Macaca fascicularis: one gene and its partner. The protein of the gene in region 1 purifies or fractionates together with the protein of each later gene. This does not show direct contact. Links are inferred from orthologs where the notes say so. Each region holds a gene or a part of one and is shown in the gene's direction. Other genes may lie near its edges.

Region 1 (4,259 bases):
ATTTTAAAAAATTTTGTAATAAAATTATGTATATCAAAAAAAAAAAAAAAGAAAAGAAATTCCGTGTGTAGTTTACACAGCACATCTCCATCCAGGCAGTTCAGAGAATCACTAGGAGGGGTTCTTGGAGGAGGTGGCTTTTGAGCCAAGAATTCATCTTCAAGGCTTCTTTCTATAATGGCCACCAAGTATTTCCTGAGTCAGTTCCATGTGTCCTGCAATTCTCTGAAGGGGCGTGGGACCTACGGATGCCACAGTTATCCAGCATATCCCCAGATTCCAAGAAGTTTGTGCATGAGCCAGCTATCAGTCCAGAAAACAGATATGAAAATAAGTCTGGGCTGGGGAGTGTTTACTCATCTTCTGTTTTCTGGGAGAGACCTTTTTTTTTTTTTTTTTTTTGAAACGGAGTTTCCCTCTTGTTGCCCAGGCTGTAGTGCAATGGCATGATCTTGGCTCACCGCAACCTCCGCCTCCCAGGTTCAAGCGATTCTCCTGCCTCAGCCTCCTGAGTAGTTGGGATTACAGACGTGCATCTGTAATCCCTACTAAAAATACAAAAATTAGCCGGGCATGATGGCGCACGCCTGTAATCCTAGCTACTCGGGAAGCCAAGGCAGGAGAATCGCTTGAACCTAGGAGGCGGAGGTTGCAGCAAGATAATTTGTTCCAGCAAAACAACGTGGCGCTAGTGCAGGAAAAGGTGGAAAGCACGGGGCTAGCACAGGAGGGTTCAATATTTTCAACCTTATCAAGCCGTATTTTGGCAACTCTTGTTTTTCACCAGAAGCCCCCGCTGGGCTCGTCCCAGCGCTGTCCTGAGGCTTCCCCCATGAGTTCCGACAGGGTAGAGGCCGCCCTGAGAGTTTCTCTCTCCCCTGGCCCAAGAGAGCCTTAAAACAAGGATTTTTGATTGGAATTGGCCACTTTGGGTTACTTTTTGACCCTTGACCTCCCCCCAAAGGGGGATCCGGGGGAGGGGCTCTGGCTGGGGTGGCCCCGCTCCTTCCAGGTCCGCGAGCCCAAGTTCTCGCCCACCAGGCTGAGCCCTCCCCGCGGCCGTTCAGCGAGGCCGTTGGCACCGGTGACCTACGACCCCCGTCCCCAGCCCCTCTGAGGTCGCAGCCGTGGCCTCCCCTCCCTATGCCTGCTTCCCGCCCCCTGCCCCTGACGGGCGTCTCCGCGGGCCGATGAGCGGGCCGTATCCACCCCTCGGGCGGGGCCAAGCGCGGACCAATCCCCGTTCGGGCGCCCGGCCGGGTCCAAACGCTCCAATCCTCAGCGGCGGTGGGGCGGGAAGGGGGGGCGGGGATTGCAGGTTCAGCCAACGGGTGGACACGTCGTCCTCGCGAGGAGGCGTGTCCTGCGGCCGGGCGTGCGGCGTCCGCGGCGGCGCAGGGAGGGGGAGGGAGGTAAACAAGATGGCGGCGGCGTGTCGAGCGCGGAAGGGGGAGGCGGCCCGGAGCGCCCGCGAGTGAGGCGCGGGGCGGCGAAGGGAGCGCGGGCGGCGGAACTTGCTGCCGCGGCCTTGGATGGGCTGGGCCCCCCTCGCCGCTCCGCCTCCTCCACACGCGCGGCGGCCGCGGCGAGGGGGACACGCCGCCCGGGGCCCGGCACCTTCGGGAACCCCCCGCCCCGGAGCCTGCGGCCTGTGCCGCTTCGGCCGCCCGGGGCCCCGTGGAGCCCCCGCCGCCGCGCCGTCCCGCGGACCGGACGCTGAGGGCACTCGGGGTGGGGCGCGCGCTCGGGCAGACGTTTGCGGGGAGGGGGCGCCTGCTTGGCCCCGGCGACCACCGCGGGGGTCGCGGGTCGGCTCGGGGGGTGCCCAGTGCGGGCCCTCGCGGGCGCCGGGCAGCGACCAGCCCTGAGCGGAGCTGTTGGCCGCGGCGGGAGGCTGCCCGGACGCCCCCACCCCCCCCGAACGCTCGCCTGGGCCGTCGGGAGTCGGCGCCTCCCGGGAGGTCCGCTCGGTAGTCCGCGGCGGAGCGTTTGCGGCTGGGACAGGCGGCGGGACCCGGGCGTCGCCGGAGACACCCCCAGGGAAGTTGGGCTCTCCAGGTGTGGGGGTCCCGGGGGGCAGCGACGTCGCGGACGCCGCCTGTGGGATGGGCGGCCCGGAGAAGACCGCGCTTGGCCGTGTTCACGCTTGTCCGTGGGCCTGAGGTCCCCGGAGGATGACCTAGTACTGAGAAGCCCCGGCCGGCCTCCCCAGGGCCTCCGAGGACAAAGTTGACCCCGACTGGGCCGTTCCCCAGTTCCGAGGCCCGGGACCCACTGCAACTCGCGTCTGAGCCGCCGTCCCGGACGCCCGGTGCCCGCGGGTCTGCAGACCCTGCACCGGGCTCGGACTCGCAGCCGGGACTGACGTGTAGGACAATCGTTTCTGTTGGAAGAAGGGTTTTTCCCTTCCTTTTGGGGTTTTTGTTGCCTTTTTTTCTTTCTTTTTTCTTTGTAAAATTTTGGAGAAGGGAAGTCGGAACACAAGGACCGCTCACCCGCGGACTCAGGGCTGGCGGCGGGACTCCAGGACCCTGGGTCCAGCATGGAGGTGGTGGACCCGCAGCAGCTGGGCATGTTCACGGAGGGCGAGCTGATGTCGGTGGGCATGGACACGTTCATCCACCGCATCGACTCCACCGAGGTCATCTACCAGCCGCGCCGCAAGCGGGCCAAGCTCATCGGCAAGTACCTGATGGGGGACCTGCTGGGGGAAGGCTCTTACGGCAAGGTGAAGGAGGTGCTGGACTCGGAGACGCTGTGCAGGAGGGCCGTCAAGATCCTCAAGAAGAAGAAGTTACGAAGGATCCCCAACGGGGAGGCCAACGTGAAAAAGTAAGTACGGCTTGCCGGGCAGGCCAGTCACTGTGCGGATGGTTCTGTCTTCCTTCCTTCTCTCCTCCCTCCCTCCCTTACTTCCTCTTAACACCCAAAGCTGGACCCGGCCGGCGCCTGTGTCCTCCGTGCCGGGGAGAGCTTGGTCGGAGGCCTGCGTTACGGACTTTCACTCAGGCAGAGCCAGTTGTCGTAGCGGGGCGTGTGTTTGCTTGGGCTCTTCTGCATGGACGCCCTGGTAGCGAAACCCTCCTGAGAAGGGAGCGGCCCCCAATCCCCTAAGTCTAGCCCCGTGGCTCCCCCAGCTGTCCAAGGAGCAGAGGCGCCCAGTGGAATGAGCCTGTGTTTATTTGGGCGCCGAGAGTTTGTGTGCGGCCGCCAGCAGGTTTTGTGCGCAATGTGTGGCGGTTGCCGGGGCCAGGAGAAAATGTGATTTGTTTATCCTGTCGGAGGGGAACCCTGGGCTGCCAAAAATAACTGCACTGGCTTATCAGCCAGCAGGAGGGAAACGTAGCCTTTCCTCATTTGCCAGGGATGTGACGCTGGAAGCATCCCTGGCCCCCAGCGCTGGCAGCCCTGCCCGAGGAGGACTGTGCCTCCCTCCCGAATTGCATCCGGAAGACCTTACTTTTCAAACTGACTTCTTCAGGCATGGGGCTGCCGCTGGGCATCCCGGACGCCTCTGCATCTGTGCGCGGAGAAGCTCCTACCGAGGGCAGCACGGGCCGGCCTGAGCCTCTCCCAGCTGGTGGGGGGGGGGGTGTCCCTTCCTTATCGCAACCAGACACGCTGCACCTGCCGTCGCCTGGCGGGCCCTGCCCAGGCCCTGCCCCTCTCCCAGCCCTCTTAACTTTCATAACTTTGCCTCCTGTTTCCAAGAAAGGACCTTATCTACTGGGCTAGGCCTCGAGGGACTGGCAGGGACACCCTGCACAGGGCACCATGACCTTGGAAGGAGGTCTGGGGAGGGGCCCCTGCCCTGTCTGCTCTCACCTCCCTCCTGCTCAGGGGCCCTGGGGCTCACATACTTCTTTTTTTTTTTTTTTTTTTTTTTTTGAGACCAGAGTTTCGCTCTTGTTGCCCAGGTTGGAGTGCAGTGGTGCGATCTTGGCTCGCTGCAATCTCCGCCCCCTGGGTTCAAGTGATTGTCTTGCCTCAGCCTCCCGAGTAGCTGGGATTACAGGCGCTTGCCACTGCACCTGGCTAATTTTTGTATTTTTTGTTTTTTTTTTAGTAGAGACAGGGTTTCACCATCTTGGCCAGGCTGGTCTTGCACTTCTGACTTTGTGATCCACCCGCCTCAGCCTTCCAAAGTGCTGGGATTAAAGGCGTGAGCCACCGCAACTAGCCAACACGCTTCTTAATCAGCATGCGGGCTGTGACATGCAGAAACCAGGGACACAGGCTCTGAAGTTTGTACTCCGGAG
Region 2 (3,806 bases), on another chromosome or scaffold:
CCTAAGCATTTCAGATAGCAGATACATGAAATGTGTTGACATTTAGATCATTTTAGTCAATAAAATGTAAAACACAATTACATTATTTGGAAATTTCTGGAATCTATGAATTTTCTTCTTCTGCTAATACCTGCCTAAGTAAAATTAAAGTGATGATTTAATATCAATTTGTTCACAGCTTTGTTTGCTAGCAAAATGCTTTAAGCCTGCCCTTCCATATCTTGATGTGGATATGATGGATATCTGTAAAGAGAATGGAGCCTATGATGCAAAGCACTTTTTATGTTACTATTATTATGGAGGAATGATCTATACTGGGCTGAAGAACTTTGAAAGAGCTCTCTACTTTTATGAACAGGTAATCATTTCTCTAAAAATTAGCTGAGGTTGTTCTGAACTCATGTGATCAAAAAAGTGATCCCATAGGTTTGTGGCTAGAGTGGACTGATCCCGGGGCCTCCGTTTCAGGTGGTGGTCCTTTCAGAGACTGCTTCTCTGTCATCAGGTAAATGGTGGTAACCTGATCCCTAAGTTGAGGAGCAGTGCCAGTGCATAGAAGAGCACTTGTGGGTGGGTTCTAATCTAGGCTTGCACTTATATCTTATCTGATTTGGGATAAGTTATGACATCTCTTGACCTTTATAGCTTCCTTTGCATATAAGGAAGAGATTGAACTGAATGATCTTGGATGTGTCTTATTCTAAAACCATGTGTGGTATTTTGTTAAGTTTTATTTACTCAGTGAAACATTCTCTTGATTCAAAATTTAAAGGGTATAGAGGAGTACACAGTAATAGTCCCTCCCACCCTTTCTGTGTCTGTGTAATGAAACATAGTACACAATTTGGTAGACTATTCTGGAGCTTTACTCAGACTTTGAAAAAGAGATACACAATATTGATTAATAAACCCGTTGTCTTTTTTTTTTTTTTTCTTTTTTTTTTTTTGAGACGGAGTCTCGCTCTGCCGCCCAGGCTGGAGTGCAGTGGCCGGATCTCAGCTCACTGCAAGCTCTGCCTCCCGGGTTCATGCCATTCTCCTGCCTCAGCCTCCCGAGTAGCTGGGACTACAGGCGCTCGCCACCTCGCCCGGCTAGTTTTTTGTATTTTTAAAGTAGAGACGGGGTTTCACCATGTTAGCCAGGATGGTCTCGATCTCCTGACCTTGTGATCCGCCCGTCTCGGCCTCCCAAAGTGCTGGGATTACAGGCTTGAGCCACCGCGCCCGGCCCAAAACCCGTTGTCTTAAGGTAAATTAGCTAGATGTTCATACTTTCCTTTTTAGTTCATAGCATGTGTTAATAAAGGATATTTAAAACCTTCAGGGAGCTCAGTTTAGTTGGAATTCTAATACATAATACACACACGTACACACATCCGTGGCTCTGAACCATACCATAATGAGTGGTTGATGTGCCCTGTTGAGGGGACCTGAGAAGGGCCACCATAAGGTGCCAGTAGGCGGAAATGGTGTCATTAAAGCATGTGTCTAGTCAGGTCAAATCTTCAAGGTGACTTCTCTTTAAGACTACACATTCAGAAAATTATAAAAATGTACTTCATAGCCACTCGATGCATTATCATTGCTGTAGCCAAATATAGTAATTCATGAGCAAACTGGTCTTGAAATATCAAGATGATGTGTGTTTTAAAAAGGTAAGAAGGGGAGGGTGCGGTGGCTCATGCCTGTAATCCCAGCACTTTGGGAGGCCAAGGCGGGCGGATCACCTGAGGTTGGGAGTTGGAGACCAGCCTGATCAACGTGGAGAAACCCCATCTCTACTAAAAATACAAAATTAGCCGGGCATGATGGTGCATGCCTGTAATCCTAGCTACTCAGGAGGCTGAGGCAGGAGAATTACTTGAACCCAGGAGGCGGAGGTTGCAGTGAGCCGAGGTCACACCATTGCACTCCAGCCTGGGCAACAAGAGCAAAACTCCGTCTCAAAAGAAAAAAAAAAACAGAGCAAGAGGCTGGGCATGGTGGCTCACACCTGTAATCCCAGCACATTGGGAGGCCGAGGCAGGCAAATCTCCTGAGGTCAGGAATTCAACATCAACCTGGCCAACGTGGTGAAAATGTCTACTAAAAATGCAAAAATTAGCTGGGCGTGGTAGCAGGCACCTGTAATCCCAGCTACTCGGGATGCTGAGGCAGGATAATCTCTTGGACCAGGAGATGGAGGTTGCAGTGAGCCAAGATCACACCACTGCACTCCAGCTTGGGTGACAGAGCAAGACTCCACCTCAAAAATAAAAAGACAAGAAAGTGGCCAGGCGTGGCGGCTCATGCCAGTAATCCCCCAGCACTTTGGGATGCTGAAGTGGGAGGACTGCTTGAACTCAGGAGTTCAAGACCAGCCTTAGCAGCATAGTGAGACCCCCATCTCTACAAAAAAAATTTTTTTTTTTTTTTGAGACGGGGTCTCGCTTTGTCACCCAGGCTGCAGTACAGTGGCGCGATCTCGGCTCACTGCAAGCTCCACCTCCCGGGTTGATGCCATTCTCCTGCCTCAGCCTCCCGAGTAGCTAGGACTACAGGTGCCCACCACCATGCCTAGCTAATTTTTTATATTTTTAGTAGAGATGGGGTTTCACCATGTTAAACAGGGTCGTCTTGATCTCCTGACCTCGTGATCTGCCTGCCTCGGCGTCCCAAAGTGCTGGGATTACAGGCATGAGCTACCGTGCCCGGCCAAAAATTTTATTTTATTTTATTTTTTATTTTATTTTATTTTATTTTGAGACGGAGTCTCGCTGTGTCACCCAGGCTGGAGTGCAGTGGCCCGATCTCAGCTCACTGCAAGCTCCGCCTCCTGGGTTTACGCCATTCTCCTGCCACAGCCTCCCGAGTAGCTGGGACTACAGGTGCCCGCCACCTCGCCTGGCTAGTTTTTTGTATTTTTTAGTAGAGACAGGGTTTCACCATGTTAGCCAGGATGATCTTGATCTCCTGACCTCGTGATCTGCCCATCTCAGCCTCCCAAAGTGCTGGGATTACAGGCTTGAGCCACCGCGCCCGGCCCAAAAATTTTAAAATTAGTCAAGCATGGTGGCCCATGCCTGTAGTCGCAGGTACTCAGGAAGCTGAAGCAGGAAGATTGCTTGAACCCAAGGAGTTTGAGGGTGCAGTGAGCCATAATTATATCACTGCACTCCAACCTAGATGACAGAGCGAGACCCTGTCTCTAAAAAATAAATAAATAAAAATAAAATAAAATGAATTATATCTCAAGGCTGTTATAAAAATAATGGGACGTTTAAAAAGTATTACTGCTTTATAATTAATGTGATACATGTGGTTGATTGCTGTTTGCTACTGTGGTATGTTCTCTTTACAGTAAGCATTTTTCTTTTGCCTAGGCTATAACTACTCCTGCCATGGCGGTCAGTCATATCATGTTAGAATCATATAAAAAGTATATTTTAGTGTCTTTGATATTACTTGGCAAAGTACAACAGCTACCAAAATACACATCTCAAATTGTGGGTAGATTCATTAAGGTAAGTTTTTTTTTTTTTTTTTAACATAAAACTGATTTCTTATGTGAGCATGTTGAGTATATCAAGAAATTGCAATGATACAGTTCTGTAACTTGGTTTTATAGTGATTTAGTTCTCCTAACAGCTTCAGATTAGCAGACATTCTCATTGCCTGATTGGGATGAAATATTTCTCAGGAACCCGTTTTCAAACTTGTACTCTATGTACTTACAGCTATAGATGTTTAAGCTCCTGTAATAGTTGATTTTTTTTCCCCCAGAGACAGAGTCTTGCTATGTTGGCCAGGTTGGTCTTGAACTCCTG

What was found.
Region 2: the proteins of STK11 (region 1) and COPS3 purify together in Homo sapiens (affinity purification with mass spectrometry; 5 studies listed by BioGRID and IntAct, with this or other methods). This does not show direct contact. The link is inferred for Macaca fascicularis from reciprocal best matches to the Homo sapiens genes STK11 and COPS3.

What each region holds. Positions count from the first base shown.
Region 1 is NC_088393.1:1,784,427-1,788,685, forward strand, and holds the start of STK11 (serine/threonine-protein kinase STK11), read left to right. Parts: upstream 1-1,396; 5' UTR 1,397-2,542; coding exon 2,543-2,832; intron 2,833-4,259. UniProt on the Homo sapiens protein: Tumor suppressor serine/threonine-protein kinase that controls the activity of AMP-activated protein kinase (AMPK) family members, thereby playing a role in various processes such as cell metabolism, cell polarity, apoptosis and DNA damage response.
Region 2 is NC_088390.1:17,359,699-17,363,504, reverse strand, and holds part of COPS3 (COP9 signalosome complex subunit 3), read left to right. Parts: intron 1-178; coding exon 179-358; intron 359-3,362; coding exon 3,363-3,503; intron 3,504-3,806. UniProt on the Homo sapiens protein: Component of the COP9 signalosome complex (CSN), a complex involved in various cellular and developmental processes.